Linked DNA regions of Macaca fascicularis. The protein of the gene in region 2 interacts with the protein of the main gene of each other region in a pairwise test. Links are inferred from orthologs where the notes say so. Each region holds a gene or a part of one and is shown on either strand. Other genes may lie near its edges.

Region 1 (4,229 bases), on a different chromosome or scaffold from region 2:
GCTGGTCTGGAACTCGTGACCTCAGGTGATCTGCATGCCTCAGCCTCCCAAAGTGCTGAGATTACAGGCGTGAGCCACCACACGTAGCCTGTTTCTTTTGTTTCAAGAGTTATTTTTACCTCTCAAAAGTGATTTATGTGACACTGATAGAAAATTCCATCAAACAGCCATAATGCATATCAAGCACTCTGCTCTGCATACCTTCTGTCACACTCTAAGGATGCGAGAGGGGAAAGAGTTATGCTGGTTCTGGCTGTGTCCTCCCCATTTTGGCTATCTTATGAGCTCTTTATAGAGGTCTGAAATGATTTGACTTCCATATGGAAGACAGCATGCCCCAGCACTGATTTGGAGTCTGGAGTCCATGGCCCTCAGGATAGGGCTAGGGTGAGCAGGCAGTTGGGACCACCTTGACCTCCAGCCTTCTGGTCTTCAGTTCCTTGGGTATCCCACTCCGCTGGGGGCTTAGTGACCATGTTTGGGCTCCAGAGATTATTTTTTCCTTCCACTCCTATCCTTAGTCTGGTACTAACCAGGCGGGAATACAGGTATGACTCTGAAGACCCTGGCAGGCTCAGGGCTGTGTGACAGCTGACGACCCGGCTGCAGGGAGCCACGTCCCTTGGAGTCCTACTGCCTTTTTACTGTCGCCACAGCCTGGATAAAATACGATGATTCTTCTGAACTTTTTTTTTTTTTTTTTTAAGGCAGAGTTTCACTCTTGTTGCCCAGGCTGGAGTGCAATGGCATGATCTCGGGTCACCGCAACCTCCGCCTCCCGGGTTCAAGTGATTCTCCTGCCTCAGCCTTCCGCGCCACCACGCCCGGCTAATTTTGTATTTTTAGTAGAGCCGGAGTTTCTCCATGTTGGTCAGGCTGGTCTTGAACTCCCAACCTCAGGTGATCCGCCCGCCTCGGCCTCCCAAAGTGCTGGGATTACAGGCGTGAGCCACCGCGCCCAGCCTCTTTGAGCCTCTTGAATACAGGGGTCATGCCTGCCTTGCAGGTTTGTCTTTAGGATTAGAGCTGTTTGGGGAGGGTCTGGAGGAGGGTGTCTTGAGCCAACCCCAGCATCTCCCCTCCAGGCCCTCCCGCTAATAAACCCCAAGTAAATGTTCACTTTGTCAGTCCTCTCGGAGCAGGTCTCCCGGGACTCCTGTGCCAAGCCGATTTCCGCCCCCCAAGGTCCTTCTCCTCCTCTGTAGAAATCCTGACGCAGCTCCTAGGTTCCTTCGCGGTGACAGCCACCCTTTTCTATTTGTACGTAGCTGGAGTGTTTTGTGGGTACGTTCTCAGAACAACAAAGTGGAGCGTTTAAAGACTGTTCTGTAGGGTCCACAGCCTCGCCACCCCCAGCCCCTGCAGCGGCTTCTGATGAATGAAATAAGCGACGGCGCCCTCTCCCCCACCCCGCCCCCGCCAACCCGGCAGGCAGGGATCCCCGGCGCCGGTTCTGGCGGAAGCGGTCCCGCGAGGCGGGGGGACTTTTCTAGGTGGGGTGGGGGCTCTGGGACCACCTTTCGGGGCTTTTTCCCCATCCCCTGGCCCCAATTCGCAGCGTTTCGCCACCCAGGGCCCGCAGGGCTCCAAGCCCCTCTTCCCCAACCCGCGCGCTCAGGCCCCCGCCCTCCCCGGCGGTGTCCCCTGACCCCCGGCGGAAGGGGTGGGGGGGTGCGGGGCCGGGAAGAGGGGAGCGCGGGCGGCGGAAGGTGGCGGGAGGAGGTGGGGGCTGGGAAGCGGGGTGCGCGGGCAGCGGGAGGGCACGGGCGGGGCTGCGCGGTAGTCACGTGGCGCAGGACCGGGAGGGTACTTAGGGCCGGGGCTGGCCCAGGCTACGGCGGCTGCAGGGCTCCGGCAACGGCACCGGCTCCGCGGCGCGCAGGCTGGGCTGCAGACTCTCGGCGGCAGCGTTCGGTGAGTGCCGGGGGCGCGGGGTCACCGCGGCGGAAGTGACCTTGGCGGGGACGGTGCCACCGGCCGCCGAGACGGGTTCTTCTGCGTCCCCGGTCGGGCCTAGGCGCGGCCCCGCGGCGTTCCTGGGGGCAGGTGGGGAGCCAGGACCCTCGGGACTGACCCTGACTGGCGGGCTGGGGTGGGAGCCCGCGCACTCCGAAGCGTCGACAAGAAAAGCAGAAAACAGCCCCGCCGGCCCGCCCGCCAGCCCCCTCCCCTCTGCTCCCCTCCCCGGCCTGTGCGCGGGACCCCGGCCCCCGGAGCGGGGAGGCGGCCAGGAGCCCCGAGGGAGGCGCCTGCGAGGAAGAGCTCGGCTAGGTCCGGAGGCTGCTGCCTGGGGTCGCGCTCCCAGCGCCTGGGCCTCGGTGTCCCCGGGACAAACTGCCGAGATTATCGCATCTGCCGGCATCTATTTTCGGTTTATTTCCCCCTCGTTCCAAAGGATTTGCCTGGCCAACTTTCTGCGCAAGATCCCACACAATTCCTGGGACCCCAGAAGACAGGTCCTGTTGAACAGGGATCTGGCACTGGGTGGGCTGGGGAGGAACCCGCACGGAGTTAAATCCATAAACAGGAAGAGAAACCAAGCTGCGAAACCAAGAGGCGAATGGGCGATTGGATGCCGGGTGGGGAGAAGGCCAGGGACGCTCCCTGCCCCCTGGACTCCAGTAAAGGGAAGCCGGGCAGAGTCCCTGGGGCCCTACCTCCCCCTCGGTTAGTAGCCCTGGAGGCCGGGGGGAGTTGGCCTCTGGGGAGCAGTAGGTGCCTGGGTGTGGGGCGCTGCAGGCAGGCTGGGGTGGGTGACCCAGCTGGAAGTGAATTGCACTTGGCTTCTTGGTGGGCCTCTGTCACCCCCTTCCCCAGGCATCGAGGAAGCCAGCAGGCTGGCAAGGAAAAGGATCCTAGCGCAGGCCCTACACCCCTCCTCCTAACGGAGGAGAGACCCCCAAACCCACTGGAGAAGCGATGCTGTGGGGCTCAAAGGCAGACCTGGCACGTTTTTGTAGCCTAGAAAAACTGATCCCCACTGCCTCCCGCCGGAGGAGAGGATAGCTGAGATGCACCCTCTTTCAGTCCAAACGTTCAGGAAGGTAAGGCGAAGAGGCCTAAGAGGGCGTTGGCTTGGTTAAGGGCTGCTCTTTCTCTTCCATAACATCGGTTCTTTTTTTTTTTTTTTTTTTGAGATGGAGTCTCGCTCGGTCTCCCAGGCTGGAGTGCAGTGCCGCAATCTCGGCTCACTGTAACTTCCGCCTCCCAGATTCAAGCTATTCTCCTGCCTCAGCCTCCCGAGTAGCTGGGATTACAGGTGCCTGCCACCACACCCAGCTAATTTTTGCATTTTTAGTAGAGATGAGTTTTAACCATGTTGACCAGGCAGATCTCGAACTCCTGACCTCAGGTGATCTGCCTGCCGCGGCCTCCCCATGAGTCACCATGCCTGGCCTGGCGGAGAACTGTTTCTTCTTGGTGATGGTGACTTAGAACCCGCCAGCTCCTGGAGAAAGGGGCTGGGCCGCCCACCCTGTGTAGCTTTCCCAAAGACAGAGTCAGACGTCTCCTGGAGAGCAGAGGCTTCTCCTTTTTGGTCATTTGTCCCGGAGCTGGGGTATCCCCTGGTGGAAAGGCACAGGTCTCTTGGCCCAGGTGGCAACGCAGACCAGACACGGCCCTGGCACAGCTCTCGCCCCAACAGCTCTCCTGGATGTTGGCTCAGGACAGCCCTGTTGTCAACTGGTCAGGCGGCGAGGGGTGGCAGCCCTTTGGCTCCAGGTTGAAGCGGCCCATGTGGTGCTGATTTAGCAGTTTGGTGAGGCTCTTCTCCTAGGCAGCTTCTTTTCTTTCCCTAGCTGCGGGACCTGGGAGTTGGAAGATAAGTTGCACCCATTTTAGGGGTAACAGATATTTTCTGTTGCTCTTGGTTGGATTGGGAAATGAAGGGAGATCACGTTTCAGGGGTGCCTTGGGATGTCTGTCGGTGATGCTCTCTTTCTTTCTTTCTTTTTTTTTTTAAGACAGACTTTCCCTCTGTCGCCCAGGCTGGAGTGCAGTGGTGCACCCTCCACCTCCCAGGTTCAAGCAATTCTCCTGTCTCAGCCTCCCAAGTAGCTGGGATTGCCGGTGCCCATCACCACACCTGGCATTTTAAAAAATTATTTTTAGTAGAGACGGGGTTTCACCATGTTAGCCAGGCTGGTTTTCTAACTCCCACCTCAGGTGATCCGCCTCAGCCTCCCAAAGTGGTAGGATTACAGGTGTGAGCCACCACGCCGGGGTGG
Region 2 (4,142 bases):
AGTCAAACTTGGAGCTCCAACTACTGGCAGCTCACCGTAAGAATATATTAACTATTTCCAATTTTCTTTTAACAAGTTGAATACTATCTAGAGAAAATATCTGCAGCTTGGTTGCAAAGCCGCTTAAACATTTCATTGGCTAGTTCTGGTAATATTGTACGAAATCAACTCATTTTGTGGTTGAGGTAATCTATTTGTTTTTACCAATCAAGTCGTTTTAAAACCTTCAGGAGTAGAGATGATACTTGAAGAATTAACAAAAAACTTAATGAAGGAAACTGTTAACTCCTCCTTCCCCCTACTTTTTGCCAGTTATTAAAAGTTCTGGTAAATCCTAACTCAAAACAAGAATGACTCATGAGGAAATCCTGACTCCTTGAACTCATGATTCTAGTGCATTACAGCTCTGAAATATCTGTGTCTCCAGCTTTCTCTCCCACCATAAGGAAACTTGTGATTTCCATTTTGGCAGATGTGACCAAGGGCTCCTGAGGAATGACCCTATAGACAGACCCAGCCACTTGCCTAGTAGTGATCAAAAATGCAAATCCAATTAAAGCACTGTCTTCTGATAAAGTCACCTTCTCTTGTTCAATCCCTAATGTTCATTCCCAACGTGTTTCAAGACGCCCCAGCAAGCTGCAGAGCAGGTCCCACCCTGCCCCCGGGCAGTCAACGTTTCAGGTTACACCTTCCTTAAATTAAGTGGCAGAGAGAAACGGGGGAGGGTCTTCCCGTAGCCTCAGTTCATTGACCAGGGTGTGTCGAATGAGTCCCTACAGTAGGACAGCAAACAAGAAATGAGGCGCGGGGTCAGGGAACGCGCTCAAAAAAAGAAGAAAAATCCCACTCTTCATTCAAAATCAGGCCACTGAACTCCGGCCTCGCGGCGGGCGACCTCCTCCTGCCAGGGAATCGCCGCTCTGGCCTGGGGCTGGGGAGCCCGTCAGGGTGGGTGGGTGAGGGAGCGACGTAGCCTCCGCCAGGCCGCAGCCAACTTCGGCTCTCTCCCTCCGCCGCAAGCCCCCGCCTGGCCGCCACGCTTCAGCAAAAGGTCGTGGGCAACAGCCCACACTGAAAAGTCCCTGTCTGCTCGCACGCCGGCCCCAGCTGGCCGCTGCTATGTAGTCCGAGTGCGCAAGAAGCCCGGGCCGCAGACGTCAGCAGCGCCCTGGCTTCCAGACCCTTCGGCGTTAACCGAGACTGCCGCTGGCGGGCGCTGACCCCCATCCCAGTGCCCGTTTGCAACCAACCAATCCGCGTCCTCTTGAGGCGGGGCCGGAGCCGCGAAGCCCCGCCCCCAAGTCGCGGCTTCTTATAAAAGCTGCGACGCACGCCCAGCAGCCAACAGCCGCGGCCCCAGCGGAAGGACGATAATGCAAAGTGCTATGTTCTTGGCTGTTCAACACGACTGCAGACCTATGGACACTAGCGCTGGCAGCGGCCACAAGAGCGAGGAGAAGCGGGAAAAGATGAAACGGACCCTGTGAGTATGGCTTTCTTCCCTCTCCCGCCACCCCTGCCACACACTGCGAGCTGCAAACGCGGTACTTTGGGCTCGGCTTTGATGTTAGGAAACTAGCCCGAGCCTCTGCAGGGGAAAAAAAAAATCGAAAAGGTCAGTTTGTTAAGGTTAAATCTGGGTGATGCTCGGGTAGAGTTTAGGAACCGAGGGAGATAGTTGATATGAGGGCGGTGGTGGATGCGCTAAGAAATTGCGGGTTGGCTTTTTGTCCTCCTGCATTCAAAATGACATCAGAATCCTGCGGCTGAAGCGCGTCCCCAGCATGCATACGTTGCATGATGAGTTCTCATCAGCTTACACAGCTCCTGGAAGGAGATGCTCTTGCTGGTTGTGAATATACTCGTTTAAAATCCACTTTTGTTTTTTAATTATAGAGCAGATCTCATCCAGTCATGAATGTGGAACAAATAATTGTTCTGCAGCGTCTGCTTAAAAGAAGTGTTGTAGGTGGGGAAGGAAGAGCGCAGGGGAATCAGTCACCCACCTCCTTGTACACTGTCTCTGGCATGCTCCAGAACCTCTTGCTCTAAAGAGAGAAGCGTGGGCCGGCTCCAGACAGTTCCACGTCTGTCCTTTTCATTAAATTGTAAAACCCCTCGGAATTGTAATTAACCTTGCAAACAAACTGATGCCCTTTGTAAGCCAGAAATAATATCTGCCTTTTGAACTAAATTCATTAACAATTCTTTAAAATACCCTAGTGATTGTAGGTAGCCCTGCCCTTAGTTGTAAAACTAGTAGATACGATCAGTTTAATGGATGAAACTGCTCAGTACATGAGGTTTAAATGTTAAGTGGATAAGACTGTTATTTGAAGAGTTCTTGCTTTGCCTTATGCGGTTTGTCTCTAGTTACTGGGTGACTTTATTTGGTAAAAATGCGTTCAGCTGCAGTAGCATATTCAAGTGTTGCTACTTAGTGATTATCTTTTTTAAATTTTTTTGTTTGTTTTAGTTTAAAAGATTGGAAGACCCGTTTGAGCTACTTCTTGCAAAATTCCTCTACTCCTGGGAAACCCAAAACCGGCAAAAAAAGCAAACAACAAGCTTTCATCAAGTAAGTTGAGAATCCTGTACTTGCAAATGTTAATAGTTAGTTGCTGAACTGAAAAGGGGAACTCTGATGTGCATAAGCTAACATGCAGAACCTCTCTTGCAGACCTTCTCCTGAGGAAGCACAGCTGTGGTCAGAAGCATTTGACGAGCTGCTAGCTAGCAAATGTAAGTTAACTCTTGAACTTTAGCCATTGCTAATATTGCAAAAGCCTGCAAAGGCTGGGTCCACACAACAAAAGAGCAGCTTGCCTGAGGGGGATTAGACTGCAGTCACTATTGGATAAAGCCTGTTTTTCTCTCCTTTATTTCCCAGGGTTTAACCATGGAAATAAATGCATGTATTTCCTCCAGGTGGGGAAGAAAATCAGCCTAAAAAAATTAAAGTGGCAGTTGCTTATAGTTAAGGTTGAGTCAGTTTTTCCATTGCATACAATGTTTTCAAGAGGCTTAGTTCCCAGAGAATTTATGTCTCCCCTATAAATATTTACTTTGCATTGACAGCAAAGTACTTATATTTTTGCAGCAGAGGGCCAACATAAGCATTTTGCCTACTGGTATCTTCGTCTTTAAAAAGCTAAATTTTGAGAATTACAGGTTTAAGCGAAATCTAGAAAATTGCTGTCATTTAGAAATAATTAAAATGTGAGGGAGAAGTACTAGGAGAAACATAAAGAATCATTTGGTCACTCGGTTCTTCACATTCTGCATGCTTTCTTTTCTCCCCCCTTCAGATGGTCTTGCTGCATTCAGGGCTTTTTTAAAGTCGGAATTCTGTGAAGAAAATATTGAATTCTGGCTGGCCTGTGAAGACTTCAAAAAAACCAAATCACCCCAAAAATTGTCCTCAAAAGCAAGGAAAATATATACTGATTTTATAGAAAAGGAAGCTCCAAAAGAGGTAAGGAAACAAGTTCCTAAACTGAGCACAATCTGGACATTTTTAGCACAAAAGTGAAACAAAATAAGGGCAAAGTGGGGCCAGAAGGAGGGGTAAAAAGTCCCCCCACGTTGTAGCTTTCAGTTATGTTAAAGTTCTTCTGTGACTTAGGTAGTAAAGCTAATCACACATAATTTTTATTTTTTGTTTTCAAATACTAAATTTTAATCTTTAACTCTGAACACCAAATAAACAACTTTTTTGTTTTATTTCAGATAAACATAGATTTTCAAACCAAAACTCTGATTGCCCAGAATATACAAGAAGCTACAAGTGGCTGCTTCACAACTGCCCAGAAAAGGGTATACAGCTTGATGGAGAACAACTCTTATCCCCGTTTCTTGGAGTCAGAATTCTACCAGGACTTGTGTAAAAAGCCTCAAATCACCACAGAGCCTCATGCTACATGAAATGTAAAAGGGAGCCCAGAAATGGAGGACATTTCATTCTTTTTCCTAAGGGGAAAGACTGACCTGCCATAAAGACTGACCTTGAATTCAGCCTGGGTGTTCAGGAAACATCGCTCAGAACTATTGATTCAAAGCTGGGTAGTGAATCAGGAAGCCAGTAACTGACTAGGAGAAGCTGGTATCAGAACAGCTTCTCTCACTGTGTACAGAACGCA
Region 3 (3,952 bases), on a different chromosome or scaffold from region 2:
TTCAGAAAGAATTCTAGGACTTTCTCAGAGCAGGAGCTCAGAGGGTTATTTTGGGGGGAAATTAGGTGTGTGTGAGGGTCTTCTTCAGGGGATTCTAGAGGATTTAGGGGACCTGCGTGAGCAAGTTCAGGGAGTGACATCTCCAGAAAAGTCCCTTAGTAAGGCAGAAGTATTGATTCAAGGGGTTCTGGGGGTGTCAGGAAGGTCTTGGAGGGATTTCAAGAACAACATCAGGAGGGTTCCAGGGGTTTGCTGGAGTCTCTAAGCTGTGTGTGTGTGTGTGTGTGTGGCGGGGGGGCGGGTCCTGAAAACCTGCATCTCAGAGGGGTCACCAAGAGAATCTTACGGTCTTACAGGGGTTGTGAGGAGGATCTTTAGAAAATTCCTCTAAAACCGGTCTGCAAGGGGGGATTCTGAAGTGTAAGTGAAGGGGAGTTCTAGGGGATCTGAGAGATAAACCATGAGGAAAGTTTTCAGGATCCTTAAACCATTTTTGGAGCGTGTGATGTGGGGGACTGGAAAATATGTGGAGTATGTAAAAGGGGTTTTGGAAGAAGCTTTTGAAATATGAAATTGAGAGTCCTCTGGAGATTTCAGGCAATCGCTGGAGACTTTAAGAATGAATGGGGGTGGGGAAGGGGGTCCCGGGGAAGATGGTTGGGCTACCTGAGGGTGATCTCTAGGGCATTTCAGGGTGGTGAGACCAGGGGGAGACAGGAGGCCTCTGGGGGAGACTTTTGGGATCTGTGGAAAGATCCAGAGGGATACGTGAAGGGGGAGTGTGTATTAGAGAAGGTTGCAATATGGTGGGGAGTGGGATGGGGTCTTCCAGGTGAGTTTTCGGGATCTGGGGGCATTTCAGAAAGTCTGTGAGGAAGATTTATTTTGGGGATATGGGAAGGAGATCTTCAGGGAAGATGATCAGGGTTCTTCGGGGGCATTCTGAAGGACTTCTGGGAGGGGGACTCAGAAATGCAGGGGGTATGAGCGGAAAATCTCCAAGGAGGTTTCTGGAATGGGGTAAGTAGGAGGGAAAATTCTTAGGATCTGGGAGGGGGAAGTCGGGTGAGCCTGTTGGGCTGTGAGAGGCAGGGCTCTGGGGGAGAGTTCTGGAACGGACAGGGGTCCGGAGGGAGCCTTGGGGAGGTGTGCAGAGCTCGTGAGGAAGGCTCCTGGAGCAGCTATGAGAGCCACGCTGTGGAATGGACGAGGAATGGCCTCCGAGGACTATTTCTGGAGACAGGAGGACGACGGGGGCTTCGGGGCCAAAGAGTGGGGGTCTGCAAGGAAGGCTGCCGAGACCCTCGAAGGGCTCGGGGAGGCGGCTCCACGGGAGAGGTGGGTTCTGCAGGGACCATTCGGGGCGCACACGGGGGCTCGGCAGGGTTTCCGGGGCTCTCCGAGGAGGATGTGCGTGGGGTCCTGAGGAGGGGCCCCCGGCCCGGCCCTTCGGCAATCCCGAGGGCACGGGGAGGATTTCGGAGAGAAGCTTCTGCCAGGGCCCAGGAGGGAGACTGGGGACGGGCGCGGGGCTTCTCCCGTGGGCCCGACCCCCGAAGCCCGCGCTCCGCACCCGCCCGCCGCCGCCGCCCGCGGTTCGGGGTCCCTGAGGGGGCGGGGCCGCCCGCGCGGCCTGGGTCGCCCTGAGGGGAGCCCCGCGCACCCTGACCCGCCGCCGCCCCGCGCCGGCCCGGCCCGAGACTCACCGCCTCGGCCTTCGCCACCACCGCCGCCGCTCGGGCCTCCTCAGGCCACCGCTGCCGCCGTCGCCCCCTCTCGGGCCCGCAAGCTCCCCTCCCTCCTCCCGCACCGACCACCGCCGCCGCCGCCGCCGCCGCCGCCGTCGCGCTGCGTCACCGCGCCGTGCGTCACCGCCCCTGGCCCCGCCCCGACGGGGGCCGCCGCGCGCCGGCATTAGCTCACGCCCGGGTGACGAACGGCGCGCCAGCCAACGGGCGGCGAGGGCAGCCCGAAGGGCGGGAGGTGTGAGCCGAGTAAGGCGGGGTCCCGGCGAGGAGAGGAGCGACGGTGGTGGAACGGGACCCAAGAGGCCCGCCCCCTCCTCGGCGGGATTGGTCGGACGTGGGGGTGACGGGCAGTCGGTCAGGCCTGGGGTTTGGGGCTGGGGGGCGGGGAGGGGGCGGGGCGCGCGCGGCGTTGCCTAGGGTAACGGGCCCGGCGGAGCCTGGGATTGGGCCTCCAGGCCCGCAGGGGGCAGGCTAGCGCGCGTCCACCCCAGCTGCCCTGAGCGAAGTCGCAGTTCCCGATTCAGACGTTCCAGGCCTCCTCTTCCCCGCCCCTTGGGTGGCCCGCCCCACCCAACGCTGTCCCCGGTAGGCGTCTGCACTCGGGCTTTGGGGGGCTCGGCTTTCTCATCGCGCTGTTCTGAGCCTGCCGCTTGCTCTCTCCGATGGGAATGGCGAGGCGAGATCTAGCCGTTAGGGTGGGAAGAGAATGCACAGAAAGCGCTCGGGATCAAGGAGGCCGCCAATAAACGGGAGTTGTTGCTATGACTTTGGTTGTGATCTGGGCGTTCCACAAACTGTCTTGGGTCTGGGTGAACTAATCAGAGGGATCTGTGTTCAGAAGGCTCTCGGTGACAGAGATCTGGCTTGTTACAGGCACTCAGAGAGCCAGTCGGGGTCGAGGGTCGAGTTGAAGACAGGGAGGGGTGAGGAACGAGCAGAGGCCAGTTGTTTGGCCACTTGAGAGAGTTTGGACTTGTCCCGAGGGCACTAGGGAGCCCTGAAGGGCTTCAAGCCGGGGAGGATCATGGTGAGTCGGGGGTTTTGGAGAGCTGTCTCTCTGGCTTATACTTGGAGGGCGGATTGGAGGGAATGAAACGGGGTCAGGAGTCCAGGAAGACAGCTGGGGGAGGAGTTGGGGAAGAAAGAGGGGGGTTTGCACAAGGGAGGGACTGTGGGGAGGGAAGGAGGTGCAGGTGGGAGGGACGCCCTGGAGGCAGAGCAAACGGGCCCTGAAACTGGCTGGCCATGGAGTGGAAGGGGGAGAAAAGTTTAGAACCAGGCCCTCTGGCCGGGAGATTGGGCCCCAGAGGAGAAGCAGGTTGGGAAGATACTAAGCCCAATGTGGATGCCTAGCAGCGAGGTCCAGGAGGTACACAAACCCCGGGTCTGGAGCTTAAGAGAGAAATTGAGGCTGGAGACCAAGATTTAAGAATCGTCAAAGATGGTAATTGAGGCTGTGGGAGTTAGGGGTCTAGCGCGGGGAGGGTGTGAAGGATCATTGGAGACAGGGAATGAACAGAACTCTGAAACGGAGAGGCAGGATTTGAGCAAAGGAATTGACACTGTCGATGAATATTGAAAAGGGCAGCCAGAGAGAGGAAGACCAGGACAGTGTGGCATAGACGCTTTGAGGAAAGGCCATTTCACCAGGGTGGGGCCATGTCACAAACCCCATCCACTACCTCCTGCATTTAAGCAACAGCCTTCACACTGTATAAAATGATTGTGCTTGATAACTGCTGGTTCATTAATTCATTCAATAATATTTCTTGCCGGGCGCGGTGGCTCACGCCTGTAATCCCAGCACTTTGGGAGGCCGAGGCGGGCGGATCACAAGGTCAGGAGATCGAGACCACGGTGAAACCCCGTCTCTACTAAAAATACAAAAAATTAGCCGGGCGCGGTGGTGGGCACCTGTAGTCCCAGCTACTCAGGAGGCTGAGGCTGGAGAATGGCGTAAACCCAGGAGGTGGAGCTTGCAGTGAGCCGAGATCGCGCCACTGCACTCCAGCCTGGGCCACAGAGCGAGACTCCGTCTCAAAAAAAAAAAAAAAAAAAAAAAAAAAAAAAAAAATTTCTTGAGTATCCAATATGTGCCAGGCTCTGCTTAAGGTGCTAAAAATACAACGGTAGGATGAGTGCGGTGACTCATACCTGTAATCCCAGCATTATGGGAGGCCAAGGAAGGTGGATCACTTGAGGTC

Evidence for each region.
Region 1: the proteins of RGS2 (region 2) and CTSB interact in a two-hybrid assay, tested with the Homo sapiens proteins (2 studies listed by BioGRID and IntAct). The link is inferred for Macaca fascicularis from reciprocal best matches to the Homo sapiens genes RGS2 and CTSB.
Region 3: the proteins of RGS2 (region 2) and LRFN1 interact in a two-hybrid assay, tested with the Homo sapiens proteins (2 studies listed by BioGRID and IntAct). The link is inferred for Macaca fascicularis from reciprocal best matches to the Homo sapiens genes RGS2 and LRFN1.

The regions. Positions count from the first base shown.
Region 1 is NC_088382.1:9,048,259-9,052,487, forward strand, and holds the start of CTSB (cathepsin B), read left to right. Parts: upstream 1-1,429; 5' UTR 1,430-1,493; intron 1,494-1,836; exon of another isoform or gene 1,837-3,044; intron 3,045-4,229. UniProt on the Homo sapiens protein: Thiol protease which is believed to participate in intracellular degradation and turnover of proteins. Cleaves matrix extracellular phosphoglycoprotein MEPE. Involved in the solubilization of cross-linked TG/thyroglobulin in the thyroid follicle lumen.
Region 2 is NC_088375.1:50,401,242-50,405,383, forward strand, and holds the start of RGS2 (regulator of G-protein signaling 2), read left to right. Parts: upstream 1-1,342; 5' UTR 1,343-1,376; coding exon 1,377-1,486; intron 1,487-2,479; coding exon 2,480-2,581; intron 2,582-2,683; coding exon 2,684-2,745; intron 2,746-3,311; coding exon 3,312-3,478; intron 3,479-3,732; coding exon 3,733-3,927; 3' UTR 3,928-4,142. UniProt on the Homo sapiens protein: Regulates G protein-coupled receptor signaling cascades. Inhibits signal transduction by increasing the GTPase activity of G protein alpha subunits, thereby driving them into their inactive GDP-bound form.
Region 3 is NC_088393.1:46,414,854-46,418,805, reverse strand, and holds the start of LRFN1 (leucine-rich repeat and fibronectin type III domain-containing protein 1), read left to right. Parts: upstream 1-1,152; 5' UTR 1,153-1,338; intron 1,339-1,706; exon of another isoform or gene 1,707-1,855; intron 1,856-2,224; exon of another isoform or gene 2,225-2,333; intron 2,334-2,621; exon of another isoform or gene 2,622-2,772; coding exon of another isoform or gene 2,773-2,775; intron 2,776-3,952. UniProt on the Homo sapiens protein: Promotes neurite outgrowth in hippocampal neurons. Involved in the regulation and maintenance of excitatory synapses. Induces the clustering of excitatory postsynaptic proteins, including DLG4, DLGAP1, GRIA1 and GRIN1.